Linked DNA regions of Macaca fascicularis. The protein of the gene in region 4 interacts with the protein of the main gene of each other region in a pairwise test. Links are inferred from orthologs where the notes say so. Each region holds a gene or a part of one and is shown on either strand. Other genes may lie near its edges.

The links.
Region 1: the proteins of BAG6 (region 4) and lithostathine-1-beta interact in a two-hybrid assay, tested with the Homo sapiens proteins (2 studies listed by BioGRID and IntAct). The link is inferred for Macaca fascicularis from reciprocal best matches to the Homo sapiens genes BAG6 and REG1B.
Region 2: the proteins of BAG6 (region 4) and RNF126 interact in binary tests that used the Homo sapiens proteins (3 or more experiments, as listed by UniProt). The link is inferred for Macaca fascicularis from reciprocal best matches to the Homo sapiens genes BAG6 and RNF126.
Region 3: the proteins of BAG6 (region 4) and CDKN1A interact in a two-hybrid assay, tested with the Homo sapiens proteins (2 studies listed by BioGRID and IntAct). The link is inferred for Macaca fascicularis from reciprocal best matches to the Homo sapiens genes BAG6 and CDKN1A.
Region 5: the proteins of BAG6 (region 4) and TAC1 interact in a two-hybrid assay, tested with the Homo sapiens proteins (2 studies listed by BioGRID and IntAct). The link is inferred for Macaca fascicularis from reciprocal best matches to the Homo sapiens genes BAG6 and TAC1.
Region 6: the proteins of BAG6 (region 4) and SPP1 interact in binary tests that used the Homo sapiens proteins (3 or more experiments, as listed by UniProt). The link is inferred for Macaca fascicularis from reciprocal best matches to the Homo sapiens genes BAG6 and SPP1.
Region 7: the proteins of BAG6 (region 4) and SERPINI2 interact in a two-hybrid assay, tested with the Homo sapiens proteins (2 studies listed by BioGRID and IntAct). The two-hybrid records come from large-scale screens. The link is inferred for Macaca fascicularis from reciprocal best matches to the Homo sapiens genes BAG6 and SERPINI2.

What each region holds. Positions count from the first base shown.
Region 1 is NC_088387.1:42,687,435-42,691,709, reverse strand, and holds the start of lithostathine-1-beta, read right to left. Parts: upstream 2,801-4,275; 5' UTR 2,766-2,800; intron 2,468-2,765; 5' UTR 2,422-2,467; coding exon 2,358-2,421; intron 1,757-2,357; coding exon 1,638-1,756; intron 1,331-1,637; coding exon 1,193-1,330; intron 400-1,192; coding exon 288-399; intron 80-287; coding exon 12-79; 3' UTR 1-11. UniProt on the Homo sapiens protein: Might act as an inhibitor of spontaneous calcium carbonate precipitation. May be associated with neuronal sprouting in brain, and with brain and pancreas regeneration.
Region 2 is NC_088393.1:1,227,364-1,231,654, forward strand, and holds the start of RNF126 (E3 ubiquitin-protein ligase RNF126), read right to left. Parts: upstream 2,801-4,291; 5' UTR 2,708-2,800; coding exon 2,633-2,707; intron 1,840-2,632; exon of another isoform or gene 950-1,839; intron 1-949. UniProt on the Homo sapiens protein: E3 ubiquitin-protein ligase that mediates ubiquitination oF target proteins. Depending on the associated E2 ligase, mediates 'Lys-27'-, 'Lys-29'-, 'Lys-48'- and/or 'Lys-63'-linked polyubiquitination of substrates.
Region 3 is NC_088378.1:134,986,958-134,990,988, reverse strand, and holds the start of CDKN1A (cyclin-dependent kinase inhibitor 1), read left to right. Parts: upstream 1-1,231; 5' UTR 1,232-1,457; exon of another isoform or gene 1,458-1,508; intron 1,509-4,031. UniProt on the Homo sapiens protein: Plays an important role in controlling cell cycle progression and DNA damage-induced G2 arrest. Involved in p53/TP53 mediated inhibition of cellular proliferation in response to DNA damage.
Region 4 is NC_088378.1:140,074,943-140,078,442, reverse strand, and holds part of BAG6 (large proline-rich protein BAG6), read right to left. Parts: intron 3,128-3,500; coding exon 3,010-3,127; intron 2,896-3,009; coding exon 2,699-2,895; intron 2,469-2,698; coding exon 2,415-2,468; intron 2,256-2,414; coding exon 2,181-2,255; intron 999-2,180; coding exon 763-998; intron 9-762; coding exon 1-8. UniProt on the Homo sapiens protein: ATP-independent molecular chaperone preventing the aggregation of misfolded and hydrophobic patches-containing proteins.
Region 5 is NC_088377.1:123,598,303-123,602,498, forward strand, and holds the start of TAC1 (protachykinin-1), read right to left. Parts: upstream 2,801-4,196; 5' UTR 2,692-2,800; intron 2,284-2,691; 5' UTR 2,275-2,283; coding exon 2,152-2,274; intron 1,172-2,151; coding exon 1,075-1,171; intron 654-1,074; coding exon 609-653; intron 71-608; coding exon 47-70; intron 1-46. UniProt on the Homo sapiens protein: Tachykinins are active peptides which excite neurons, evoke behavioral responses, are potent vasodilators and secretagogues, and contract (directly or indirectly) many smooth muscles.
Region 6 is NC_088379.1:93,530,490-93,534,587, reverse strand, and holds the start of SPP1 (osteopontin), read right to left. Parts: upstream 2,801-4,098; 5' UTR 2,711-2,800; intron 1,634-2,710; 5' UTR 1,620-1,633; coding exon 1,566-1,619; intron 1,457-1,565; coding exon 1,418-1,456; intron 1-1,417. UniProt on the Homo sapiens protein: Major non-collagenous bone protein that binds tightly to hydroxyapatite. Appears to form an integral part of the mineralized matrix. Probably important to cell-matrix interaction.
Region 7 is NC_088376.1:78,850,736-78,854,940, forward strand, and holds the start of SERPINI2 (serpin I2), read right to left. Parts: upstream 2,801-4,205; 5' UTR 2,790-2,800; coding exon 2,543-2,789; intron 1-2,542.

The DNA.
Region 1 (4,275 bases), on a different chromosome or scaffold from region 4:
TTCAGCTGCCTCTAGTTTTTGAACTTGCAAACAAAGGAGAACTTCTTCTCACAAGATTCATCCTTCCATTTCTTGAATCCTATAGAATAATGAGAAGAGTCAGACAGAGAGGATCAGAAGGAGGGTAGCCCCTCCTCGATCTAGGACTCAGAACAAAAAACAAGAGGAAATATTCCTTTATTTTCCAGATAAAGAGCTCACCTTTCCTCTATCCCAGTTCCCATGTTCATCCCCAGAGAAAAACGGGAGGGAAATAACAACAGATGGATAGATTGTCTGCCTCTCACCTGAGCATGAAGTCAGGCTTGCACAGTAGCCAGCATTAGCACTGCTTGGGGCTCCAATGTCCCAGGATTTGTAGGAGACCAGGGACCCACTGCTCCAGTGCCAGCGGCGGTTCTAGGTGGAGAAGGGTCAGAACAGGGGCCACGGTCACTCAAAAATCAATAGAATAACCAGGCCTGTGTGCACACTCAGAAACAGGCCAAGATATAGCAGAAAGAATAATCATTGTTGTCACCATGAATGTCGTATTATTTCCTCTGCTTTTGCTCCTTCTCTGGAATGTCCAAATTCCTCCTCCTCTTCCAGCAAATAGTAAGTGTTCAGAGTTTGATACAGAGACCCATAAAAGCCCATTACAGAGAGTGGTTCTGATCTTTTTTCCTGAAGCTCAGAACTCTCATATACAACATAACATTGGCTGTAGAGTAGTTGTTGATATATTGTTTAGTTTAACACTTATAGTGTTAAACTAAACACTTACAGTGTTAAACTAAATAATATATCAACAACTACTGTACAGTTTTATACATTTGTATAAAATGTATAACAAATGCCAGCAGTAGATTTCTCCTCCACTACTCTTTTCCTATACAGTCTACAGAGGGACCTCTTCCAAGACAGACAATAGCAAAATAGGGAAGAAGTTGTACATAAAGATGCATTTCCAAAAGTTGACACAATGAGTGTGTGCATGAATTCCCAGGAGCCCAGAAAATTCAGCCTTCAGCTCATGTCTCTAACTACCTACACTGAACTTCACAACTCATACATTATAGGATCTATAAAGAGGTTTCTTTTATTTAGAAAAACAAAAAGATAAAAGTTGGCGCTCGAGGTGCCAGACCTTAAACATCCCTCTTACCTCTCAAAAATGTTTATAAGGAGATAGAGGAGGCTGCAGACTGACCTTTTTGGGGTCATGGAGGCCAATCCAGACATTGCTGTCATCAGTGTTACTCTCCTTAATCAGTGAGGCCACGAAGGCACCCTCTGCCTCGGTGAGCACAGATACCAGGTTGCCTGAATTCATGTTCTGGCAGTAGAGCTGTAGGTGAAGAAAATGGAGCACTCAGTGGAGGAGGAAGGTGTGAAGGATCTACTGAGATCTTCCAGAGGATGTAACAGAAAAAGGACAGCACAGAAATGTCCCTGGTGACGCTGTCACTGACCACCAGTATCTCTGTGCTAGGAATGTGTTAAATAATGGGATAAAGTAGATTGGGAAGTTTTGGACCAGTGGTGGAATAGGGAAGGGATCAATCTTATCTCATTGCAGCCACAGAACACACTGCAAATTAGCAGCTGCCACTACCTTCATGAGCCTCCCTTCCCCTGCTGCTGTCCTCACTCACATCTGCATCAACCCAGGTCTCAGGGTCTTCATTAAGGTAGTAGCAGTAGGAGCGATAGGCATTGGTGCCTTCTGGGCAGCTGATTCGGGCATTAGGCAGCTCTGTCTGGGTCTCCTGGCCTGAGGGAAAAAAAGAGGTAATTAAGAAAGACTCTCAGGGCAAGGAAAAGGCTGGAAGGTGAATTAGGGGCTTTTCAGTTTCCGTTATAAGAACATACTGATACAGTGTGTACTGGAGTGACTCCTTACTTCTGCTCCCTGCATCCTATCTCTTTTTTTTTTTCTAGTTTCCTCTGCTCAATACAAGAGCTTGTAATGAATAGGCTAAAGAAATGTGTCCTCGTTTTCCCTTTTATTTCTGAGGCTCAGGCTTCTGCCTTTAAAGACCCAGTCTTCCACCTTTCTCAAGTTTCTCTTGATTTCCCTGTACATGTTTGCCTTAGCTCTCCATCCTATTAATGACTACATAAAAACATCCAACTGCCATCACATATAGATTCAATTAGATAAACTCAACCACAATGGTCACCTATAAGTGGTCTTATTAAATTCTGTCTCAAACTCATGAATGAAATGAGGATGTTTTTGAATGGGATGAGATCAGCCATAATGATCAACCTCTGATGTTCACTCTGCTTTTTTTCAAGTGAACCCTATGCATGAGGATGGAGGGAAGACTTCAGAGCTGGGGTTGTGGGACGTCTGGGGAAAAAAATCTCACCTTGGCTCAGAGACAGGAACATCAGGCAGGAGATCAGCATGAAGCATGAGTTGGTCTGAGCCATGCTGAGCAGCAGTGAATCTCTTGCTTAAGGAGCAAATCAGCAATCTCTGTAGGAGAACACAGGGAAGAGGGTTTGAAGAAGAGAGCAGAGCCCCTATTATCTTTCTAACATCCTCTCCTCTTGGAATTCCTGTGACCAGGAAGGTCCACTGAGATAGCTACACTCGCAGATATTTCTCTTTTGGTTTGGGGATAACAGAGGCCAAATTACCCAAAATCAGCTTTGGTTTTGCTTAAGCTTCATTACTACCGGGATCTTTTATTCAGAAAATCACCCTGTATCTACCTCAAAATGAAGAGAAAATCCCATGTTAGACATGCTCTTCTCCTGTAATGCCCCCTTACCTGTTGGTAAGTGCCTTGTCCACTTGAGGTGGCTTGTCAGGTCAGACAGAGTAGGAGCTTTATATCAGGGTCTGAGAGAAAACCACATGATATAAACAGTGGGTGGAGCAAGGAGTAAGGGTCAGAAGGCCTACAAAGGGCACTAACAGTAAGAGATTCTGGCATCAGGAATAGCTTATTACTGGCACACATTAGGAGTGGTCACAAATGATATCAACTTACCATAAACAGGTTAGTAAACTGTCCAAGTTGATGTTGGGCTTTGTCCTTCCCCCACAGCATCCACGTGTCCAGTTCCCATGGCCTTTAGCCATCCTAGAAAGAGCAGAAGAGTAGATTTCTTTGTGCTATGTAAATATGGGATGATCCTTTCTTTGGTTTAGATGTGGGTAGGGGTAGGGGAAGAGTCAATTGAGTGCAAATGATTAAGCCCAATTAGCTGGTGGCTTTAAGTCATTTCTCCATTCCCTTTCAGGCTCAGGAAGCTCTCAAACCTACTTCAGAAGGCAAAGTGTATTAGTCCATTTTCACACTGCTATACTGCCAGAGACTGGGTAACTTAAAAAGGAAAGAGGTTTAATTGACTCACTGTTTAATTGACTCACAGACTTTCCTGAGGCTGAGGAGACCTCAGGAAACTTACAGTCATAGAGACGAAGGGGAAGTAAAGCATGTCTTACATGGTGGCAGGTGAGCAAGAGAGAGTGAAGAGGGAAGAACCCTTTATAAAACCATCAGATCTTGTGAGAATGGACTCACTATTGTGAGAACAGCATGGGGGAAACTACTCCTGTGATCCAATTGCCTCCCACTAGGTTCCTCCATCCACGCATGGGGATTATGAGGATTACAATTTGAGATGAGATTTGGGTGGGGACACAGAGCCACACCATATCACAAGGTTTAGTAGTTATGTAAATTTAAACCAGCATTTCCAGCAAGGTTTGAGTATAAGTAGCTAGCAGGCTACAGATGTTCTCAAAGTCCAAGCAGGTGGGAACTACAGGGAGGTGATGCCTAAGTAAGCTCAAAGTAGTGGAATATGAAGTTGTTGGTTTGAAGTCAATCATCTGTTGTTGTGAAGTTACAGATAGTGATGGAAATTAAACACTTACTGAAATTCCCATTAAAAATCCATTCAGATTCAGGGAGCAACAGCAAATCTGGAATTTAAAATTCAGTTGAAAAACTAACCAAAATGTTCACAGAAATAGAGATGGCTATATCAATCGGGATAAATGACTAAATAATATATTTTGAAATACTAACAGGAGTTAAATTAAATAAGTTAATATCTTTATATAAACATGAGCTCATTTCAAAAGCATATATAAACTTAAAAAGGATTTTAAAAGTCAGTTGCAAAAATTTACAAACTAATAATATTTATACGTGCTTTAAAGGGCTAATTCCTTTTTTTTTAATTTATTTATTATTATTGTACTTTAAGTTGTAGGGTACATGTGCATAACGTGCAGGTTTGTTACATATGTATACTTGTGCCATGTTG
Region 2 (4,291 bases), on a different chromosome or scaffold from region 4:
GCCCTTGTGGGCAGGCACACAGCCCACGGCAGCCGGGCAGCCAGTCTCCTCTGCGTCAGAGGCAGGCAGGAGTGTCCTGCCAGCCAGCCCAGGTGTCTCAGCAGCAGCACCGCCGCCTCAGACTCAGCTGCCGCGCAAGCTCCCCATCGGCAGAGACGCCGTTTCGAGGGCGCTGGCTGTGGCTGGGGACTTTCCCCATTACCAGATTCGGAGCAGCCTTCCCTCCTTCCCGCCCCAGAACCAGGTGTGCCCATTTCCCAGCACAGAAAACTCGTTTTTGAGACAGCGTCTTGCTCGTCACCCAGGCTGGAGTGCAGTGGCACCATCACGGCTCACCGCAACCTCCACCTGACAGGCTCAAGCGCTCCTCCCACCGCAGCCCCCGCCCGGAGCTGGGACTCCAGGCGCGCAGCAACACACCCCACTAATTGTTTCAGTAGAGACAGGGTCTCGCCACGCACAAAGAAGTTCTGACACTACAACGCTGTCTACGGGCGCCTTGTTGCGTCCTGCTCCAAAGGCACAAGCAGGTGCCCTCTGGATCACCTGTGGGGTGGAGACAGGCAGTCCTGCGGCAGCCCTCCCTGTAGTTATTTGCTCTTAAGGAATTTACCAACGTCCATGATTAAATATTTGTCAATCACTGTTCCATGCTGGCTCCCTGGCCAGCCTGTAAAGTCTGTGAGGGCAAAGACCACAACTACCTGTCACCACTGAGATCCTGTGACCACAGGAAAGCCTCGCCAGGCCCAGTGACAGTCAGAGGAGGTCAGGGTCCTCCCTGTCCAAGGCCACCAGTCCTGTGCAGGCTCCAGGAGCAGCTAAGTGTGCAGCCAGGTCAGGGCAGCGTTGGCCCCCCCGCCACAGCCACCACTTCGGCCTTCCTGGGGGCCTCCCAGGGCCTGTCCCACGGCTCACAGCGGCTGCGAGGGGCTGCCCTGCAACTCACCCAGGCAGGCAGGCTGTCAGGCAACCAGCCCCTCCTGTCACGGCCAGTGGGGACAGGAAGCGGGAAGCAGCAGGAGCGAGACCCCTGGGAGACAGAGGAGCAAGGCAAGGCTCAGTCTCAGCCCCAGAGCCTTCACCCCACATCCGAGATTTCACTTTATTTGTTCCTCCTGCGGGGGAGGGGAAACCCGGTGGCTTCAGTAGAGAGGAAACCACACCTCTCTCTCCATTTCTGGGCCTGGCACCGCTGTCCTGCCATACCCCACTCTAGCACTCGTTCCTCCTCTGTGACCCCAGCCAGGCGGCTTCTCCCGACTCCCTCCAGCCCCTTCCTGGGTCTCTGCACTGCTTGTTGGGGGCTTGGGCTCCCCTTAGGGGTCAAAGCGTAGCAACAGCCAGGCGGCAACGCACACAGCACAGTAAATCCTCAATGCCTGCAGTCTCTTCCCCTGGGCACGGGGTGGGGAGTCCAGACCCCTCCACCTCCTGCAGCTGCTCCCCTCAAGCTCGTCAAGCGGCTCCGGACTGAGCCGGCTCTGCCCCTTTCCTGCTGAGCCACCACAGGCCTCAGTTTCCCCATCTATCAAGCAGGCGTGGCTCGACTAAATCACCACTTCCCACGTCAGCCTGGGGAAGGGGAACACGGGTTAAAAATGCAGACCACCGCCGGCCGCGGTGGCTCACACCTGTAATCCCAGCGCTTTGGGAAGCTGAGGCAGGAGGATCGCTTGAGCCCAGGGGTTCAAGACCAGCCTGGGCAACACCACCGTGTTCCTAAAAATAATATTAAAAATACAGACTGCTGAGCCCATTCCACACCGACTGACTCCGAAACCCTGGAAAAGGGGCCTGGAAATAGCACGTCCGACCAGCACAGCTCCCACCTCCCCCAAGGTGACATCAGGGCCGCGTGGGGAACCTTGCCCTGAACGAGCAGGAAGTAGCACTCGGAACGCCTAGGCCCAGGGTCCTCCCGGGCGAGGGGTGGCTGTAAACACCTCGAGGAGGAGTGGGCTGCCCGGCCAAGCCCCGGGAGGGGAAGAACGCAGGCTCCGGTCACAAAGCCCCGCCGGGGGGCCGCGCTCGGACCCCGGGACGGTGCCTGGAGCCTCCCGGGCCTGGGCCTGCCTCCAAGGCGGCGGCCAGGGCTCCACAAGGCGAACCTGCAGCGAGGCGCCGGCGCCCCAGACCACGCGCTCGGCGGGGGTCCCCTGGCGTTATTCTCGGGGTCCGAGCCCCGCCATCCCCTCCTCCAGGCCCCGCCAGGCCTGGCCCCTGCCCTGCGCCGCGCCACCGAGCAATACCCTCTCTCTGCTCGCCAGGCCTCAGTTTCTCCGTTTGCAAAACCAGGCTCACCGGACTCGGAGGTCCCACCTGGGATCCTCGCGGCCTCTCGGGTCGGGAACGCCGCGGATGTGGGGTCACCCAGCCGCGATCCCGCTGCGCCGCTCCGGCCAGGCCCCGCCTCCCGCCCAGGCCTCAGTTTCCCGCATGTGCAGGACGGGGTTCGCGCCCGCACCGCCCGGGTTCCCCGCGGATCCAGCCTGGGCCGGCGCTGCCCCGAGCCTCAGTTTCCCTATCTTGGCCAGCTCGCGCAAGCGACCCCCACCCCGGCCGCGGCCTCGGCCTTGCCTCAGGCCTGTGGCACAGACCCTGTCGCCCGTCGCCCTGGCCCGGGCCTCACCGGCAGGCGCGGGACGATCTCCACGGAGCAGCAGTGGCAGAAGTACCGTCCGGGCTGCGGCGACGCCTCGGCCATGGCCGCCGCCGCCTACTCCGCGCCGCCCGCCCCCCGCGCGGCGCCCGCCGCCGGCCGTTTGCTGCTCCCTCGCCGGCCGACGCGCCCGCGCACGCTCACGCACGGCACGCACGGCACGCGGGGCGGAGAGCGGACGCGGGAGCGGCGTAGGCTGCGCACTCGGCCGGCCGCGGACAGGGCGACGGTGGCCGCTGAGAGACAAAATAGGCCCGGCCGTTGGGCGGGGCTCCGGGCGGGGGCGGGGTTCCAGCGGGGGTGGGGCTTCCGACGGGGGCGGGGCCAAGTCCAGGCGGCGGAAGAGACGAGGAGCGGGGCCTGCGCGAGATGGAGCCGAGGCCCTCCTAGTCTCCCGAAGCTGCCAGGGTCCTCGTGTCCCTCAGTGCTTCCCTACCTCATCGCCTTCTCCCTTCATGGTGCTTCAGCCCACTGTCCCCACTGTTCCTGGGGCTCGCCAGGCGCCCTCTCCCCGCCCCCTCCCGGTGCAGCGCTCCCCCAACCCCCACGTGGCTTTCTTCCAGGTCTTTGCTCAAATGTCAGCTTACAAGGGCTCCTCTGCTGCCCTCCTGCCCCGTGGCACCGTCAGGTCAGCTGCGCAGCGAAGGGATTGTTGGACCCACAGCAGCGCCTGACACACAGCAGGCATTCCCTCAGCGCTGCGGAATACAGGCAGACGGGGGCTCAGGGCGCTGCCTGGGCCTGGCTGGGACCCGTGGGGTCAGATAGAGGCTGAGGTCCGTGGCTTGTGGCCCTGTTTCCAAGATGCTCCGGAGGCTAACGGCCCAGGAGCCTCCCGGGTGCGGAGAGGGCAGGAAACCTAATCCCCACTTCCAAATTTAATCAGTAGACACGGTATCAACACCCAGCGCAGGCCAGGATCATGTCTGAGGTTCGTTCTGGCCCAATCATGGCATGTATTTGTTTTTTTTTTTTTTTAGACAGAGTCTGACTCTGTCACCCAGGCTGCAGTGCAATGGCACAGCTTCGGCTCACTGCAACCTCCACCTCCTGGGTTCAAGCGATTCTCCCGCCTCAGCCTCCCGAGTAGCTGGGACTAAAGGTGTGTGCCATCACACTGGCTAATTTTTGTATTTTTAGTAGAAACGGGGTTTCACTATATTTAGCCAGGCTGGTCTCGAACTCCTGAATCATGATCCGCCCACCTCGGCCTCCCAAAGTGCTGAGATTACAGGCGTGAGCCACCGCACCCGGCCTCATGCATGTATTTCTTTATTCACTCAACGCTCATTGAGCACCTACTGCATACCAGACCCTATGCTGAAGGCACGCAGAGACCCCCGGCCCCATGAGATTGGACCGGAGTATGGGACTCAGGGGTGACCCCAGCTCTGCCTCGGGAGAGAGAAAGGGCTTCCGAGGGGAAAGGACATTGGAACCAGGGTTTTGAGGGATGAACAGGATTTGATTGGAGTTGGACTTCCTGCAAAATGAGGCATTGGAGCCAGACTGTTGAGGAATTAAGAGTTGGAGCCTGTGCATTGAAGGGTTTTTTTGTTTGTTTGTTTGTTTTGTTGTTGTTTGGTTTTTAGAGATGGAGTCTGGCTCTGTCGCCCAGGCTGGAGTGCA
Region 3 (4,031 bases), about 5.1 Mb from region 4:
GAAAGGAGGCAAAGGTGAAGTCCAAGGGAGGGCAGGGGTGTGCGGTAGATGGGAGCGGATAGACTTGTCATTCATCTCTGTGTCTGTCAGAAGCACCAGTAGACACTTCCAGAGTTGTCCTTTATTTATGTCATCTCCATAAACCATCTGCAAATGAGGGTTATTTGGCATTTTTGTCATTCTGGAGCCACAGAAATAAAGGATGACAAGCAGAGAGTCCTGGGCAGGAGGCAAAAGGCCTGTGTTCCAACTATAGTCATTTCTTTGCTGCATGATCTGAGTTAGGTCACTAGACTTCTCTGAGCCCCAGTTTCCCCAGAAGCGTACAGGGGCTGTGTGGGGAGTATTCAGGAGACAGACAACTCACTCGTCAAATCCTCCCCTTCCTGGCCAACAAAGCTGCTGCAACCACAGGGGTTTCGTCTGTTGAGGTGAGTGTAGGGTGTACAGAGATTGGTTCAATGTCCAATTCTTCGGTTTCCCTGGAGATCAGGTTGCCCTTTTCTGGTAGTGTCTCCAATTGCCTCCTTCCTGGAAGCATGTGACAATCAACAACTTTGTATACTTAAGTTCAGTGGACCTCAATTTCCTCATCTGTGAAATAAACGAGACTGGAAAAGCATTCCGGCCTCAAGATGCTTTGTTGGGGTGTCTAGGTGCTCCAGATGCTTCTGGGAGAGGTGACCTAGTGAGGGATCAGTGGGAATAGAGGTGATATTATAGAACTTTTCTGGAAATTGCAGAGAGGTGCATCGTTTTTATTATTTATGAATTTTTATTTATTAATGTCATCCTCCTGATCTTTTCAGCTGCATTGGGTAAATCCTTGCCTGCCAGGTCGGACTCCCCGACCCCCAGAGTGGATCAACGGTGGGCCAGAAAGGGGGCTCATTCTAACAGTGCTGTGTCCTCCTGGGGAGTGCCAACTCATTCTCCAAGTAAAAAAAGCCAGATTTGTGGCTCACTTCGTGGGGAAATATGTCCAGCGCACCAACGCAGGCGAGGGACTGGGGGAGGAGGGAAGTGCCCTCCTGCAGCACGCGAGGTTCCGGACCGGCTGGCCTGCTGGAACTCGGCCAGGCTCAGCTGGCTCGGCGCTGGGCAGCCAGGAGCCTGGGCCCCGGGGAGGGCGGTCCCGGGCGGCGCGGTGGGCCGAGCGCGGGTCCCGCCTCCTTGAGGCGGGCCCGGGCGGGGCGGTGGTATATCAGGGCCGCGCTGAGCTGCGCCAGCTGAGGTGTGAGCAGCTGCCGAAGTCAGTTCCTTGTGGGGCCAGAGCTGGGCGCGGATTCGCCGAGGCACCGAGGCACTCAGAGGAGGTGAGAGAGCGGCGGCAGACAACAGGGGACCCCGGGCCGGCGGCCCAGAGCCGAGCCGAGCGTGCCCGCGTGTGTCCGTGCGTGTCCGCGAGGATGCGTGTTCGCGGGTGTGCGCTGCGTTCACAGGTGTTTCTGTGGCAGGTGAATGACGGGCGTGGATCGGTGCGCGCTCGGCTTGCGCACACGGTATCTGTAAGTGCGCGGGTGACGGGGGTCGGGATGTGCCGGAGACCCGGGGCAGAGAGCGGGATTACCAGTACAGGGATCCCCGGTCACGATCCCCGCCCCTGGAAACCCAGCTGGGGCGAGGGAGGGCGTGGACCGGACTGCTCTGAGAGCTCGCCTTTGGCTGCGGTTGGCTGCAGGCCCCAGGCGCAGTTTGCTCGCGGCCTGGGGATGAAGTCCGTGTCCCTGGAGGGGCCCAGGAGGGGCGAGGAAAGCGGAGTGGAGTAAATTCGTCTAGGATCGGTCCTAGGCGGCTCTCGGATCCAACTGGCGCCGCCCTGGCCCAGGTCCCAGGTTCAGGTCCTCTACGCCACTGTGTCCACCACCTGGCTGGGCACTGAGGTCAGCGCGGGCTGTTTCCCGGCCCTTGGGAGTGTGCCAGGACACGTCCCCTAAGGACAAACGAGGAGGTGACTCACTGTGACAAGGAGACCCCAGGGAACGGACTGTATGAGGTCAGAACCCCGCCCGGGAAGGGGTACAATGGGACTCCCGAAGCCCTCTCCCCTGCCCCGCCGCGGTCTCCGTCCTCCCATCGGCACAGTGACCTATTTGGCTGGAACAGCTTGTTCCCAGGGAAGCAGGGCACCGGAGGTCCAGGACACCGCGTCGGGTCCCCGCTTCGCTAGGGGTCGGGGAGTCACGACTCTGCGCTGGGCGGGCTCCAACCAGCCTGTCAGTCGGGGAAGGGCAAGGGTCTCCTCTAACTCTTTCCCACCGCGGCCGGGAGAATCACGGCCCAGCCTGCCCTCGGGTCGGGGCGCTGGACTCCGGGGCGAGAGCAGAGCCCACGCCTGGGTGGGAGGTGGTAAGGGGTCAGGTCTTTGCGGGGTGGGGATTCTGGGGGGCACGACGCTGCTCAGGGCCTCCATCAGCTGCCTCGGTGGCGCCCCGACCTAGCCCAGATTCCCTCTCGGAAAGCGACAGGGCTGAGCGGAGCAGGGGGGCGAGTCGCCCCCTGGGGCGCCGCCACTTGGCGCGGATCACAGCGCATCCTCTCGGTCCAGAACCCCTGGGGGACACTTGCGCCCTCTTCGTGCGGAAAAGCATCTTGGAGCTGGGTTTGGAACTTGGGGCGCCCAGGCAGCTTCCCCTCTCCTTCCCTCCCTCCACGTCGCGTTTCTGGGAGGACTTGCGAGCGGTTTTGTTTTCGTTGCTCCCGTCTATTTTTATTTTCCAGGGATCTGACTCATCCCATGCTTTGGGCGTGGAGATAAGGTGGAGGGGTCGGCTCCCGGCGCGTGTGTGTGTGTGCGCGCGCGCGCGTGTGTGCGTGTGTGTGTGTGTGTGTGTCAGAGACGGCACAAGAGCGCGCGGTTTCCCAACAGCGGCGGGAGTTTCGGAAGCCTGGCCGGCTCAGCGTGACGTGTTCGCGGCGCCCCCCCGCTGTCCCCTCCCATGCTCCCCCTCCCCACCCCAGGGTGACGCGCAGCCGGAGTGGAAGCAGAGTTTTGGCGGGCGAGCAGCGCCTTGCAGGAAACTGACTCATCACTACTCCCTCCCGCAGTCCGAGGCTCTGCCCACGCACCTCCCACCCCGCGCGTGATTTCCTGGAGGCCGGCGCCCCCTCCCGGCCCTGGCGGTAATAGCACACCGGCTTTCCCGCGGAGTGGGGCTGGCCGGCGCGAACCGCCGCGGCTACTCCGAGAATAACCCCTATGCCATTACCACCCCTTCAAAGGAGCACTCCTTAGATTCAACAGTATTTACTGAGCTCTTACTGGAAATTAAAATATGGCTGAAGTCTAAGGCAGCAAAGCCAATAAAGGAGGCTATTTTCAGTTGTTTGTAAAACACGGGTTTACGTTTCTGTTTTCTTTGGGCTGAAAGTTATTATGACAATGAGCATGAGAGCAGATTTTGATGGGCGAGGAGAGGCCTATAAGAGCCATAAGAGAAGGATGGGTGGTAGAAGAGGAGAGGGTACCTGCCTAGATCCTAGTCCTGTCTTGAGCTCCCGGGAGCCAGGGAATATCCAGCTCCTTGATGAAGCCCTAGGCGGGCTCCTCCTCCTTGTGCCTATGATGTATTGAGACCAAGAATGTCCATTTCAAACACACCAGTGTGTCCCCCTTTGGCTGGCACCCCAAGAGTGCCCATCTGAGGAACGGTGCCAAACACTTGCTTGAAACTTCAATTTGGATTAAGTTGGTCTCAAGAGGCAGGGATTTTTCAAAATCTATATTTTGAAAAAGCTCCCTAGGTGCTTCTTTCTTTCTTTCTTTCTTTATTTCTTTCTTTCTTTCTTTCTTTCTTTCTTTCTTTCTTTCTTTCTTTCTTTCTTTCTTTCTTTTCTTTCTTTCTTTCTTTCTTTCTTTCTTTCTTTCTTTCTTTCTTTCTTTCTTTCTTTCTTTCTTTCTTTCTTTCTTTTTCTTTCCTGCCTGCTTGCTTGCTTGCTTGCTTTCTTTCTTTCTCTCTCTCTCTTTTTCTTTCTTTCTCTTTCTTTCTTTCTTTCTTTCTTTCTTTCTTTCTTCCTTCCTTTCTTCCTTT
Region 4 (3,500 bases):
AAGGATGGCTGTGGACAAACCCAAGGGGCAGTGAGCCAAAACTTTCCTCAGATTCCCAACCTCACAGTCAACAGGGACCACATGTGCCCTCCTTCTCCCTGGTCTCCCAGAGCCCTGGCCCAATCCTTCTCTGGACCAGCAGAGCTTCTATTTTCAACCTCCGCCTCCTGGGTTCAAACGATTCTCCTGCCTCTGCCTCCCAAGTAGCTAGGATTAAGTCGCCTACCACCACACCCAGCTAATTTTTGTATTTTTTAGTAGAGATGGGGTTTCACCATGTTGGCCAGGCTGGTCTTGAACTCCTGACCTCAGGTGATCTACCCGCCTCGGTCTCCCAAAGTGCTGGGATTACAGGCATGAGCCACTGTGCCCGGCCAAAGCTTCTATTCTTTACTCCCACCCATGAGAGGATGGGGAGAAGAAAATGAACTTTTCCCACCCTCTCCACCACAATCCTGCACCTACAATGGTGAGAGACTAATTCTAAGAAAAAGAGCAAGCCTACGTGAACTCAGAGAAGAGAATTCTCATCAGGCTCAGGAGATACTATTTGGATTTTCTTGCCGTAGGGAGAGCAGTTCTTCTCAGCTGCCTGTCCTAGCGTCATTTACCTATACAAAGAGAGCCCCTCCTCGCCCCTCAATGGTAACCTTCAACTAAGACCTCCAAGTAATCCTTTCCCTCCCTTGCCATGGTTCATTTTCTTCTCCCCATACTTCACTTAGGATTTCCCACCCCCTAAAGATTCCCTCCATCTCTCACTTGGGTGCGTTTGTTTCCGGGGCAGGTGTTGGGCCCGCTGGGGCTGGACCAGGAGTGAGCTCCGGGTTCTGGGCTGGGGCACGCTCCTCCACTTCTTCTGCCTCCATGGGCTCCCGAGGAGGTGCTTCACTTTCAACTGGTTCTGATGTTTGAGAGCTCAAGGCTACTGGCTCCTGGGTCACAGCTGGTGGCTGCGGGGGTGGCTGACTATGCTGCGGTTGGGGTCCTCCTCGACACTGAAGGTAGGGGAGAGTCAGAATACCAAAAGCAGGATAAGACTGCTGCAGAAGATTACTCTGCAGGAGACTGGACAAAGAAAGTATCCTAACTAGACTCCCTGAAGGCATGGCTCTGCAATTGTATCTCTAACTCTCTAGCAACTAGCATAAGACTGACACAAATTAGATGCGTAATAAGCATCTGTAATTTTTTTTTTTTGAGACAGTCTCTCACTCTGTTGCCCAGGCTGGAGTGTAGTAGCGCAATCTCAGCTCACTGCAACCTCCGCCTCCCAGGTTCAAGCGATTCTCTTGCCTCAGCCTTCCAAGTAGCCAGGACTACAGGTGTGTGCCACCACGCTCAGCTAATTTCTGTACTTTTAGTAGAGACAGGGTTTCACCATGTTGGCCAGGCTGGTCTCGAACTCCTGACCACAGGTTATCCCCCTGCCATGGCCACCCAAAGTGCTGGGATTACAGGGAGGAGCCACCATGCCTGGCCGCAGCATCTGTAATATTTGTAAATAACTTTCTAACAAAGAGTAGAGACTGTGGTTTCCTGTCCTCCATAAGTTGGTTTCCCAGCCTCCACAAGTTAAGAATGTGGAATCCTGGCCGGGCGCGGTGGCTCAAGCCTGTAATCCCAGCACTTTGGGAGGCCGAGACGGGCGAATCACGAGTTCAGGAGATCGAGGCCATCCTGGCTAACACGGTGAAACCCCGTCTCTACTAAAATACAAAAAAAATTAGCCGGGCGAGGTGGCGGGCGCCTGTACTCCCAGCTACTCGGGAGGCTGAGGCAGGAGAATGGCGTGAACCCGGGAGGCGGGGCTTGCAGTGAGCTGAGATCCGGCCACTGCACTCCAGCCTGGGCAACAGAGCCAGACTCCGTCTCAAAAAAAAAAAAAAAAAAAAAAAAAAAAAAAAAAAAGAATGTGGAATCCTTTAACTGAAAAGAGATGCCATGAGACAAGTCGGAAACAAACTCCCCGGATACCAGGCAGGTATGGCAGAGGATTGGCAGAAATGAGCACGTCTCACAAAGATACTTCTTCTGCCCAGAATAATGAATACTGCAGAGAAGACTGCATTATGAAGGCCAAAGCCTGTGGATGTGGCCAGTCAAGCCCCAACCCCCAGGATGAGAGAAAACGGAGGAGGGAGGGTGGGGAGAGACTCTAGCCAACCTTGCCCACTTACCTCCATCCGGGATAGTAAGGTCTGTATATCCCTGATCATGTGTTGAGCCATCACCAGCCGTACCCGGGGCTCACTCTACAACGAGAGAAGGTTGATCAGGGTAGGTTACAGATGAAGCCATGAGTTCTACCACCTACTAAATCAGGTCCCAGCCATCTCTCAGTCAGGTCCAACCCACCTCCCAGCCTCCTTCTCCCAGATCCCCTTCCCTGACCCTCGGAGGCCCCTCAATACCTGAATCGGGGCCTGTTCCATGTTGATGTGAACATCCACAGCAGAGCCGTCACTCTGGGGAAAGGGTAAGGGAAGTTGTTCTGGGAGAAGCCAACACTAAGACCTCCACACCTCCAATTCATTCCCTGGAGCCCCGCCCTCTTTTCTCCTTAAAGACTGAGACCAATAGCACACCACAGCGCCCCCTGAACCCAATCTAAAGATGGAAGCATCTATCTTATTCCCTGTTGCTACCACAACCAAAGCTATCCACAAAACCCCTCCCCTGTGGAACATAAGCTTACAGGAAGATTGAAGGTTCCAACCATGACATAGCTGTTGGCATTCCGGTCATGAACAGAGGCCCCAGGCCCCCGAGTACCAGGCGAGGGTCCCCCACCATGAGTGGCTGAGGCAGACCCCGTCCCAGAAGATGCCCCAGAAGGGAGCTGAGTCTGAGGAGGAGCCCGTTCCACCAGGTGGATAACCTTTCCCCCAACATCTGCAGAAAAATAGACACACACCGAAACATAGTATGAACAGGTAAACCCATGGCCTCAGTTCATCCCTCCAGACAGCAGCCCCAACCTCTGAACTGCCTCCTCAGTCCCCTTACTGTATTCCTGGAGCTTCTTATCATCTTGCAGAACTCGTCCCTGGTAAATGAGCCGTTGTTTTTCAGACGGGATGCTGACAGAGGCAGCAATGTGCTCCTTAAACTCTTTTACATTCATCTGAAAGGAAGAGGAGGCATGCACAGGAATGGAAAGAATGGAAAAAAAAGGAAGAACACAGACAGACAACCAACTTGTGGAGGTGAGGTGTAAAAACTACCCCAGAATCACTACCCACTAGTCTTGACTGTGAGATAATTACTGTGCAAACCCTTAAACTAAAGTAACAGCTGTCAAAATACAGACAATAAACTTGGCTGGGCACGGTGGCTCACGCCTGTAATCCCAACACTTTGGGAGGCCAAGGCAGGCAGATCACGTGAGGTCAGGAGTGTGAGACCAGCCTGGCCAACACGGTGAAATCCCTTTTTTACTAAAAAATCCAAAAAAATTAGCCAGGCATGGTGGTGGGTGCCTGTAATCCCAGCTACTA
Region 5 (4,196 bases), on a different chromosome or scaffold from region 4:
ATTTTACATTTAAATTTGATAAATGTCAAAACAATTTTGAACTTACTTTTGTGAGAGATCTGGCCATGTCCTAGAAGAAAGATAAAATTAGCAAACACATATACATTTGTTTTTAAAGATGCTACATTATATCTTTTATAAAATAATTTGATTATCAAAATATGTAACATTTTCTATCTATATATTATCCTGAGGAATAAGGCAGAACCATAAATGCTAAACAACTTATTAATAATAAAAACTAAATATTTAAACAAACAAATGGAATTTTTATTAAGTGCCTTCTATGGGATTCAAACCTAGGACTATGAGACTTTTGAGACCTCTTATTGACTATAAGACTGTAGTATTTCCCACCTTCAAGACTGGCCACCCATTGAGAGAGAGAGAGAAAGAGAGAGAGAGTGGCAGAGAGAGACAGAGAGAGAGTGACAGCGAGAGAGTGACAGCAAGGGAGTGACAGAGAGATCGAGAGAGAGTATGCAAATACATCTCTTTATTAAACAGGCATCATCTAGATCTTGTATTTCAGCCCATAAAAGATTTTATTTCACTTTCCTACATGTGCTTTACACAATAGTAAAATAAAGATTTATAGGAATGTTTACCATAAAGAGCCTTTAACAGGGCCACTTGTTTTTCAATTGAGGAATCTGACAAGAGACGAATTGTCATTACATGTTCCACTGACGGTGCGATAAATTCAAGGAAACAATATTTCTATCCCAAGACAAATCTACTCTCATGTCAGGGAATGCTACAAAATCCTGTTCCACATGCACTTGAATCAACCGCAGTACTACCCCTGGAGGCCCGTGTCTTCCCTTTGTCAGTTTGGATCTTTAGTCAAGGGAGCGCTTCACTCGAACACAGTGAGGCATGCGAACCAGATCTTTCCCTCCCCCTGCGGGCCCGTGCGCGCCTTAGTGCGGTGTGGACCAATGTCGCGCCTGGGTTACACCCCTGTTGGAGTGGAAATCTTTATTCAGAGCGAGAGACCCTGGGGTACTCCGAGAAGGAGAGAGCAGACAGGGCGGGCTGCCCAAGACACCTAGGGACGGTCGCCCATCTCACCAGCATCCCGTTTGCCCATTAATCCAAAGAACTGCTGAGGCTTGGGTCTCCGGGCGATTCTCTGCAGAAGATGCTCAAAGGGCTCAGGCAGTTCCTCCTGGGGGGCAAAAGCACGGACAAAGGGCGTGTAAGGCAACCGGAGCGAGGCACCCAGCAACCCGAGCCCTTCCCGCTGTACTCCGGCCCCGAGGCGGGCGGAGGCAGCCTTCCCCACGCTCGGGCTGAGCGGGGTACCTCCCGAGGCGCTCCCTCTCTGCGCCCCTCCTCGCCGAACCCGCGTCCCGTCCCCCGCAAGCCTGCCAGGGCGAGTTAGCAGCTGGCTCGGCGTCTTCAAGCCTCGAGCGCTTTCCGTTCTTTCCTCCCAGCCCGGGGACCTTCCCTCATCTGCCGCGCCGCCACCTGACTTTGTCTTGTCTCGGTGTCGGCTTTGTAGACTCCTCACCACCCTAAATGCACACAGGTGTGTGTGATCTGGGGCTGGGGCTGCGGTGGGAAAGGGTGACAACGTTTTATAGACGACTTTCACCCTTTTCCCGAGGCGCGCTCCCCAGCGCCAGTAGCCTACGAGTTTCTAAAGGGAAACTTCAAGCTACATCCTCAGGTCCGCAAAACAAACGTGAAGGCAGGAAATTAACTTCCCTCCAGCCTCCGGCCCTCCAATCCCCCTGCAGCTCACGCGTGTGCCCGCTGCTGCCCGCGACCAAGGCGCCCTCTGCCCGTGCCCAGACGCTAGGGCAGTGCAGCTGGACCGGAGCCCCCGAAATCCCCATTCCTGAGGGATGAAAGCTTACGAGATTTATGATCTTGTGGGGATCTCGGGCTCATCCGGGAGGGCATCCCTGCTGCAGGGAGTTCCTGGGCTGGACGGTGCAGCCCTCGGGAAGAAACTTGAATCGTGGGCCAAAATCCCGTGAGGAACCCGGGAAATAGCGCCCCTTTCCATCCTCCCGCACGCATCCGCTGCCTCTCGTCGTGGTCGCGGTGCCTGCCACGTTAACTAGGGTGCTGCTGCGTGGGAAGGTGACAGCTCCCGAGCCCAGGAAGAAGGGTGCGGGCTGTCCTGGGAAGGGGCCTCACCTTGATCTGGTCGCTGTCGGACCAGTCGGACCAGTAATTCAGATCGTCATTGGCTCCTATTTCTTCTGCAAACAGCTGAGTGGTGACGAGAAAAAAGACTGCCAAGGCCACGAGGATTTTCATGTTGAATTTCTGGGAAGGGGTAGTGGGAGAAGAGACCAAAGAGAGAAATAATATATCTATTAGGGGTGGTTATCCAAGAGTTAGAGCAACAGAATTTTCAGCCCCACAACGGATGAACTAAGATAAAAAATACAAGGACTAAAGTCTCACCTGCACCCGTTAGGCGAGAGAATCGCGTCCCAAAGATTCTCCAACCCTCTTCTCCCTGAATCCCAACTCCCTCAGCCCTCTAACCCACCAACCCACACCTTCAAACCAGGAAACTCTGCAGGTGGAAGACAAAGAGGGGCGTTGGCGTTTGGGAAGCCAGTCTCCCCACTGTCCCTCGCCGCAGCGGCGCACCCAGCGCGGCCACCTCGGACAGATGCGGGGTGGAGTGACCCGGGCAGCCGCGGCCGGCACTGCGCGGGTACTTACTGCGACTGACAGTCCCGCGGGGTGCTGGGTTCCTCTGGTTCCTCCGAGTGCACGCTGGTCGCTCCGCACTCTCGGTGGCTGCGGGAAGGAGGAGGTCCGAGCGCGCTCTTTCGCCTGCTGAGTGCCTTGCGGTATTTATCCCAGCCTCCTCGAGCCTCCAAACCCACGTGACATTCTCCCCACGCGACTTTCTGCTCAATATTTAATTAGCCGCCTCCTCTCCTTTCGCTTGCGTGATTGAGAGTTTCCGAGACGGTAACTCGTCGATGCCCATAACATCTGGACCCAATTGGGTTCTAAATGACGCAATTTTAGGAAAATCGAGGTCTCGCCATCCAATCGGGAGCGGCCTGCTTCCGTCTGCAGATCTGACGCCCCCTCCCCTCTCCTTTGAAACTGGGTTTCATGACACCTGAGATTACTCATCAAATTTGAGCAAAGTGACTCATTCCTTGGACTTCGGTAACTTTTCCGTCCCTTGAGACGTCAGGATAAGTTGCACTTTTGAGGATGGCCAAATAACTGTAGGCATTCAGTCATTTCATCGGAAATCAGGCTAAGAAAGGAGGACTTCAGTTGAGGGGAGATGCAGGGAGGCATTCTTTTCCCCTCTATTTCTAGCTTAAGAGTATTTAAGTGTTTCTGAGACACAGCATCTTTCTATGACCAGAACATCCCTCTCCTAAATCAATGAGAATACTGGCATTTCCTTAGCATTACAAAAGGTTGTTTAGTCCCATAGTATTTTAGAAGATGGAAGCACATTTATTTTACATTTTGGAGAAAGGGGAATTTAAACATGACATTGTGTGTCAGACTTAGGATTTCTTTTGTTTCAAGCTGGGTAACTCCTCTTCCTTGTCACATCCAGGAGCAGGGGTTGGAACAGGACTTTTTTTGCTTCTCTCCTACACTTTCTTGCTGAAGACTAGGAAACCAGCAACATAATGTATAGGATCCTCACCCTTGTCACTAAAGGGCTCTATAAATCATGTTTCTCCTTTCTATGAAAATAAGTGTAGTGAAGATGCTAATGGGACAGTCATTAACGCACAAAATATTAGACAAATAGCATTTGTACACAAACCACAGCTTTCCATGAGCCCTTGGTTGCCTGGCAGACACATTTCTTTGATCTCTAAATGAATGCGGCATCTTTGGTGGAGTAGTTTTCTCCCCTTTACATATAAAGTGTTACATTTTTCAGTTAATTATGATTTGTTAGTATATTGTATAAAAGAAACACATTTTTGCAACTTAAACCAGAAATTTTTTCCTCTATGTTGTTCTTAAATAACCCTGGATTTGGAAATTCTCATGCATTTCTGATTTCTTTTGACCTTAGCCTCACAATGTGAGCATTTTATTTTCTGTTTTCAGAACTTTTATATGGAAAATTATCAGCATCTCCAAAAGTAGAGAGGTACATCCACTTCCAGGTTTCATCTACAACCCTTCCAGTTTCCTCTGCACTCAAATTATTTTGAAAAAAAATCCCAGACATT
Region 6 (4,098 bases), on a different chromosome or scaffold from region 4:
CCGGCTACTCGGGAGGCTGAGGCAGGAGAATGGCGTGAACCCAGGAGGTGGAGTTTATAGTGAGCTGAGATTGCGCCACTGCACTCCAGCCTGGGCGACAGAGTGACAGAGCGAGACTCTGTCCCAGAAAAAAAAAAGAAGATGCAGAAACAATGGGACTAGATGCGTTCAGAGTTTTTCTCTTCACTTTTTCATATCTATCTATCTATTCTCATGACACATGTAATACAGGCTTGGAGAGAATGGATTTATAAATTAAATTTATAATTTTTAAAACCTAATGTGAAAAAAATAAAGGTAAGCAAAATGAATAGACTAAAAACCACCCAGTAATCCTAACACTCACAGATAACCAGTGTGTATTTTCAGGCATATATCCTTAGAGACTTCCCCAATTTTTTACTAGCTTTAAGTTTCTGGGATTCTAGAAGGCTGGGCCTTGAGCCTTCTAGATTTCTTAAATTGTTATGACTCCACGTGCCTTCTAAAATGCATCTTTGCCATGTTTTCATTTATTAAAAAGGCACTAATTCTTGCCTGAAATAGTATGACCTCTATCTTCTCTGGAGATGTTAATTTTTCTGCTTTATTATTAGGAGTCAACATCTGTGTTTTCAAATCAGTTGGAAAACAGACACACACACCCCCACACACAAACACACACAGAATACTTCTTTTAATGTCTTCATTAAGAAATCTAATTGCAGTGACCCCCAAGGCAACTCTTATTTTGGCCTTTATTCTGTTCAACTGGAATTGAACTCTGTGTGCCTTTTTGTCCAAGCTGCTGGGGACAATGCCCATTTGTTGTTTGGTTGGCACGGTTTCATCTGTTGTGGAGGGGTAGGTACATCTTTAGTGCTGGTCAAATAATTATAATAAAGAGTTTGGTTGGTCTTATGTTTGGTTGGAAAATGTGATCTAACATCAGCTGACAATCACAATAGATACAAACAGCACACATAGACTTTCTTTTCACAATGGGCTTCTCAGCTAATATCTCAGACGATATTGTGAATATTATGGTCATACAAACAGTTCTGACTAATATCTGATGTGAATTTTAAACTTAGCAATCCACTAAATAAAGCAAAAGCTGGAATTTTCTGCTTTTAGATCAATATGTGGACTAATGGAAAAAAAGTCACACAGCTTCGTATAACTCTATCTTACATGCTATACTGGCCTAGACATTATTATATTTAAAATATCTGGGTTGGTTTTACAAACTTATATTTATTAAAAACTATACTGTGCTTGGTACTGGCCTAGATTCATAGCAGGCAGTCAATAAATACTTGTAAACCAATAGATTTGACTGAGAAGATAAGTAATCTTGCAGCAAATATGTTTGTTGCGCCTCTCGCTGTAATTGAGTAAATGATTTCACTATGTAATAAACCTAAAAGATGCTTACCTGCTTTTCCTCAGAACTTCCAGAATCAGCCTGTTTAACCTTTGAAACAGAAAAGATGAAGAAAGATTACAAGAATGTCCTCCTAGCACATAGAAGCACATAATTCAGTTATTTTCAGGAATTTTCTTTAAGATTCAGTTGTACTCACTGGCAGGGCATAGGCGATGCCTAAGAGGCAAAAGGAAATCACTGCAATTCTCATGGTAGTGAGTTTTCCTGCAAAACATTTCATAAGGAATAGCTGACATCCTCATAGGTTAAAACAATGGTACCTTTTTGTACTACCACATTACAAAATAATCACAAATAAAATATATTTTCTGTAAAATCTTTTCTACTTCTTAGAGAAGCCTTTTCTTTTTAGTATTATGGTCTTTCAAGTTAATATTTATATTGCCACCTATTCTCCATCTTTATTAGGTAAGGGAAAGGGAAATTTTACAAGTCTGTATTTATTCAACTTTTAAATTTAGAGTTCCAGAAATTGTACGATTACTACCTTATATATCTAGCTCTACTAAACCTACAAACAGATCAACAGTAACTTAATTCTATTAATAAGCTAGTATGGGAATGCTTTTTAGAGAAGAAAAAGCACAGATAAAAAAATGAAAAAAATTTGCTTTATTCGTTTTTCCAATATGTACTTTAAATGTGATTTTTAGCTTAAATTATTAAGTAGATGCTACTTAGGTGAAATGAAACTATCTCTGAAATTTGTTATTTAAGTAAGATGTTCTAAAAATTTGAAATGCAAAGGAAAACATTGAAAATAGCCAACAACTTTTCTATTTGTAATAATAAGCCTACATAGTGTCATGCAGGTATCTTGGTGAATATTTTAACAGCTAAATTTAGCAGTAACATATTCAGAAAGAGTTTTCTTCCCCTTGAAAATAAGATACATCATTTAAAAAATAGCATTGTAATTGGCTTAATTAGTGTAAAAGATCCCTTTTCTTTTACATTCCTGCAGTCACCCGTTGAAAATGATATAGGTATAATTATTCCAAAGGGGAATTGAATTTTACTATTTTCTGATTAGCCGCAGTAGTTTCCGTTCTTTTGAGGACCCAGTGGAAGTATTTTTAAGTTTTATATTTGATTGGCATTCCAAATATCTAGACACCTTTGTTCCAGGAGACCTGCAATGTATCTAATCTGCTTATTAAAAAGGCTAGAAAATTTAAATCTGTTTAACAGCATTACAATTAAAAATATTTTTCCTTAGAACTTGAACTTCCCCATGAAATTGAGCTGAATGCACAACCCAGTAGCAAACTGAAGGCATACCTTGGCCGGCGTTTGGCTGAGAAGGCTGCAACTGGCCTGACAGGAGTCCGGTCTCAGACGATGCTGTGCTCTCTGCCTCCTCCTCCCGCTGCTGACAGCCAAGCCCTCCCAGAATTTAAATGCTGCTGCAGACATCCTCCACCAACACAGGGAGGCGGAGAGATGTGTCATGAGGTTTTCTGCCACTGCCCAGCCCACCTGCTCCCACACTTCCCCCTCTGGTTTTGTGGTTAAAACAAAAAAACAAAAACGCACACACACACATCTACAGTTAAAACATTACTTATGTACAGTATCATTAACTAGCTTTTTCATTTACAGGATGGGCATTCAGCATCCAGGAAGAGCACTTAGGGATCCCATGGAAAAGGGAGAAAGTAGGGAAAAACATTAATGTAAGATTAAATAGAAAGGAGTTTTGTTTCTTTCAGTTTAAGTAACATAAAAGTAATATCTGCAACCACTCTTGCCTATATGATTATACTTATTGAAGAACTATATTTCTAGAAGGCTATTGTTCAAGCCTGCAAAGAGTTCAGAAAACCTGCCTCTGTCCTTTACTACTCAAGCTTAGCTTTGTGATTTCAAGTATGCAGTGGCTTGTTACTTAGACAAAAGACACTAGTGACATTAAAATATAAAATTCTATATAAAAGAGAAGAATGGTATCTTATTCTAGATGTTGCAGAAGTAAAGCAGTTTCTGACTGAGAGCAGGATGACTGCCTGAGAGGGCCGCTTCAGGAGCCAGACTGTGGCTCTGAATTCCGCTGTGTCACTGCTGACCTGTGCAACCTTGGGCAAATCGCCCAGCCTACCTATCCTTGTTTCCTCATCCATAAAATGCAGATACTATTACCTAGGTCATGGGATTTTTGAGAGGTTTAAATGAATTAGTATGTTAAACTAACAATGCTTAGCACATATTAGATACAAATGCCCTGCGTATCTTAAGGAGTGTATGTGTGTTAACTAGTATGAAATTTTTAAGAGGGGCAGGCAGTCACGAATTGTAATGTCTTTAAAAAGAATAGGTTATTAAAATGAGAGTAGATGTAAGATCTTTAAATGGTATGCATCAATAAGGAAATTTTGCGCATTTCTAAAGGAACAGATTCGATTTTGGAATCATCTTTTTTTCTAGTTTTTCTCCCAGGGTATGTAAATTAGGCTACTTAAAAAGAAAAAGATTTTTAAAAATTTCTGGATTAAAAAACACTTTACTAGGTATTTAAAACGTATTTGAATAAAAGAAAATTACAGGGGAAGTCTGAATATTCAGGGATAGCAGAGCTCTGGGTCCTTTTAAAATATTTAACATTGTCTTGAGATTACTTCATCTGCTTTCTCAGTTGTGAAATGCAGATTGCACTATTTATTTACCTTACA
Region 7 (4,205 bases), on a different chromosome or scaffold from region 4:
TTGGTTTCTAGATTAATGACATTTTTAGCACAGATCAAAAAAGAATGTATATATACACATATGTATACATATATATGTGTATATATGTATATATATATGTATATGTATGTGTGTGTGTGTGTGTATATATATCTCCTAATAAGTAATGAGAACAAGTTTATTTCATTTTCTAAAATAGAGCCATGGATAACCCACAGGTCATGGGTGAATGTGGCTCTTGATTTGATTGTACCAGACCTCCAGAAAATGTTCTAAAATTCAGTGCATGTTCTCTTCTGCTAGTAAAAGTCTAAAAGCCAATTTTGTGTGCATATGGGAGATCCAAAGATGAAAACAAAGGTAGTCATAGAATTATAGATTATTTCAGCCAGAAGGTCCAAATAAATTACCTAACCTCAACTTTTCTTTTTACAGTGAGGAATCTGAGGCCCAGAGAGATTAAGAAGCTTCACAAGTGACGTTACTTGTGCCAAATCACAAGGTCATTTAGTTGCAGAACTGGGACAGGAATTCATGTCCCGTTCTCTTTTCAAACCCTGTGGAAAAAAGAAGCACCTTCAATTTTGCCTTTCATTCGTCATCAGCACTAACAGAGGTAAAGTAAAAGGGAGTATTAACAGATGTTCAGCAAAACGGAGGTGGTAAATTCAGAGCAGATGTTTTGACAATGAAGTAAAGAAGAAGACCTGAGGACACTGAGAGTCTTACATAATATATAATAATTCATATTCTTATTAATGTATTAATGAGAATATATTGCTCTTATATTCTTAATTGTCACTGAATTATTTTAGGAATTAGCGCTGAGCAAATTATTTAACCTTTCTTTGTCTCAATTTTCTGAGGTTTATTAGAAGGTTGTTTGCCTAACAAACTAACTATAAATATTAAATGAGAGAATATACATTAAGCGCATGAAACAGTGGCTGATATGCTATCTGTATTTTTGACAGTGCATTATTATTATTATCATGTTCACAATTCACACTTGTTAAAACTTCTGTGTTTCTCTATATGATGTATCCATTTAAAGTCATTTAGTTTCCACAGACTCTAATTTATGTATCTTCACAAATATTGTATTACTTTTTCAAAGCTATAGCATGTGATTTAAACATTTCTGGGAGTGGTGTAGTGGGATTTGCTGAAATTAATCAAGTTAAATCTGGAATACATTGACTTCAGTATGCACTATTTGCAAAGAAAAATTCTTACAATTCACTTCACTATCACCAACTTCTTTTCTGTATAAAATTGTCTTTATTTAAAATGAAGCAAATACAGTCTTGTAAATAGTATTTTCAGGAAAGCAAATTTATAAATACAGTTACCCTGTGACAAGAAAAATATACTGAAATTATAGTTGTAGCAACTAAATTCCCAAATCAAAAATCTATATTTAAAACACAGTATCTCAGAGTAATCCAAAAGCTGAAAATTAAAACAACTACAGAAACTGAGAGGATGAGATAGCTAAGGAGATGAGCAACAACTTTTTTTTTTTTTTTTTTTTTTTTTTTTTGAGATGGAGTCTGTTGTGTTGCCTGGCTGGAGTGCAGTGGCACGATCTCAGCTCACTGCAACTTCTACCTCCTGGTTTGAAGCACTTCTTCAGCCTCAGTCTCTTGAGTAGCTGAGACTATAGGCACATGCCACCATGCCCTGCAAATTTTTGCATTTCTAGTAGAGATGAGGTTTCACCACATTGGCCAACCTGGTCTCGAATTCCTGACCTCAAGTGATCCACCGCATCAGCCTCCCAAAGTGTCGAGATTACAGGTGTGAGCCACCATGCCAGCCAAGCAACAATTCTTTCAAATGGGATGCCAGCACAAAAGCACAATATCCCAGTAAGAGGGATAGACACTATCCCAGACAGACCATGAGGAGACTCCAACAAAACAACCAGCATTCACAAGCACAAAGACCTCTGATGATTTAAATCCTTTTTTTTTTTCCTACTTTCCTTTTAAAACTACTAACAACCTCTTAAAATGAAGAAATTAATGTTTTTTCTTGGTCTTGTTACAGATAAGGTGCATTTTTTTAAAAAGAAATGTTGGAGACAACCTACTGAAGAAAGGCTAAATAAGTAACGGTATTTCTAATAAGATACAGTAATTAAAATTGTATTTTGAATCAGTTCCATTACATGGGAAAATGATCACAACATAGTGATAGTGAAATAATATGTATGTATATAGATGTATATTTTATGACTAAGTACATACACACACATATGCACGCCCAATATAATCTCAAGTAATTAAAACTGGCTAAAACAAACCAGAAGAAAATGTACAAATATATACTTAATTTTACATTTACACAGATGTCAATTTCTCAATAATTTTTGTAACTTTTTAGAGGAAATAATTCTAAACAAATGAAAATTATATTTACAATTCTCCATTTTATTACAATTTTCTACTTTTCATTACATTTTCACTTATTAAAATTTTTTTATCCTGAACTTCTAATATTAAAAAATGAATGTGTCCTTATCTTATCCAGTATAAGTAAGGAGATGTAAGGGTCTCACCAGCTGAGGTTTCCTGTTGTTTTAAAGTTTGTCTTATCTGCTGCTCTGCTTTTCCTTTGGCTCCCAGTTGTACCATCTCAAGAACCAAAGTTATTCCAAGGGGTGAAAATATAATGTTGTTCTTATGAGATAAGGAAAGCTCTTGATAAAGATCCACTGCAAATTCGGTATTTTTTTTAGCTGAGCGTCTTGAGGCTTGACTTCCAAAAAACAGCAATAGGAGACTCCACAACAAGATTGTGTCCATTTTGATTCCTCTGTATCGTTTAAATCAAAATGTATTCATTTTCAAAATAGAGTTTTCCATAGAGAGCTCAACAGAAAACTTTCTACCTATTGTAGCTTTCTATCTTAATAGAACTTACTAGCACGAGTGAACTCTATACAATTAGATTTCTAAGTATCATCTGTTTAGAAAAAATGGTTCAAGTGCTAATGGTATTTCTTATATATCTTCAAGAACCAGTAGAAAATTTACTTGTAGCTTTGTAACAAAAACCAAAAAATACACTGCAGTGTCGGAATGTTATCAATGGCAATGGAATCTCCAAATAGTTATACAATAGTTTTTTCTATCTTTTCTCATGCTTTTTAAGTGGGATAACTGTAACTCTGACATCAGGTAAACCTTCTGTGCAGTCTACTCTACAGTAATTTATACATCACGAGGAGAAATGGAATAAAGACAGACTTACTCCCGTGTGATTTTAGACCTATAATATTAGAAAATTAATGTATTCTAAAATAACTGAGTAATCGGGCTAACTTTTTACAATTTTCCTCACTCTTTATTTCTTAGGACAAAATAACCCAAAGCCCTCTTCCTGCTTTTCCAAAAGAAGAAAAATGCAATGCAGAAAACCTGCAAAGTTTGAGACAAAATGGCAATCAAATATAAATGATACAATAAAGTACAATGCTCACTACCTGGGTGATGAGATCATTTATACCTTAGTGTCAGGCCATATACCCATGTAGCAAACCTGCACATGTACCTTTTAATCTGTAATAAAAGTTGAAATTGTAAAAGAAAAAATATAAATAAATGAAATATAATATCAAAGAATTGACAAAAATACTAACATAAGAGTAGCAGCAATTGAAAACCATAAACAATTCACAAGATTAATAATACCCTATTAAAGTGCTCTCCACTAAAATTGCAGGAAATTCAACCATTTGATTATACCTCAAGCAGAATTAGTTTTGCAATATTACCACATATTTGGTAGAATGCTGACTCCAAGGCCTCATAAATTTTAGTAACAATAATTTTACCTTATAAATAACACATGTTAGTAACCCTTAAAAACGTATCCATCAGTAAGTTACCAGAACGTAACCATTAATTAGTGGTAAAGATGAAAGTCTTCAGAATAGTGTGTTGTCAGCCTTAAGTAGAGACTTACATTTCTAGAGTGTTTTGCAGATCATTAAGGGGGCCACCATGACCCACAAATGGGTAGGAGTCACTAAGAACAACTGTATTTATATATAAAGATTACTAATAGTCAAATTTTCTTCCAAACTAAACTATGGAGTTATTATTTAGATATTTCAAATTATCTTTCAATGTATTTTGTTAAACTGTATTTGTTTAGACATACATTTGCAAAAGACAAAAATCTCAAAAAACAATCCAAGGCAATTGTTAGAAAATGTG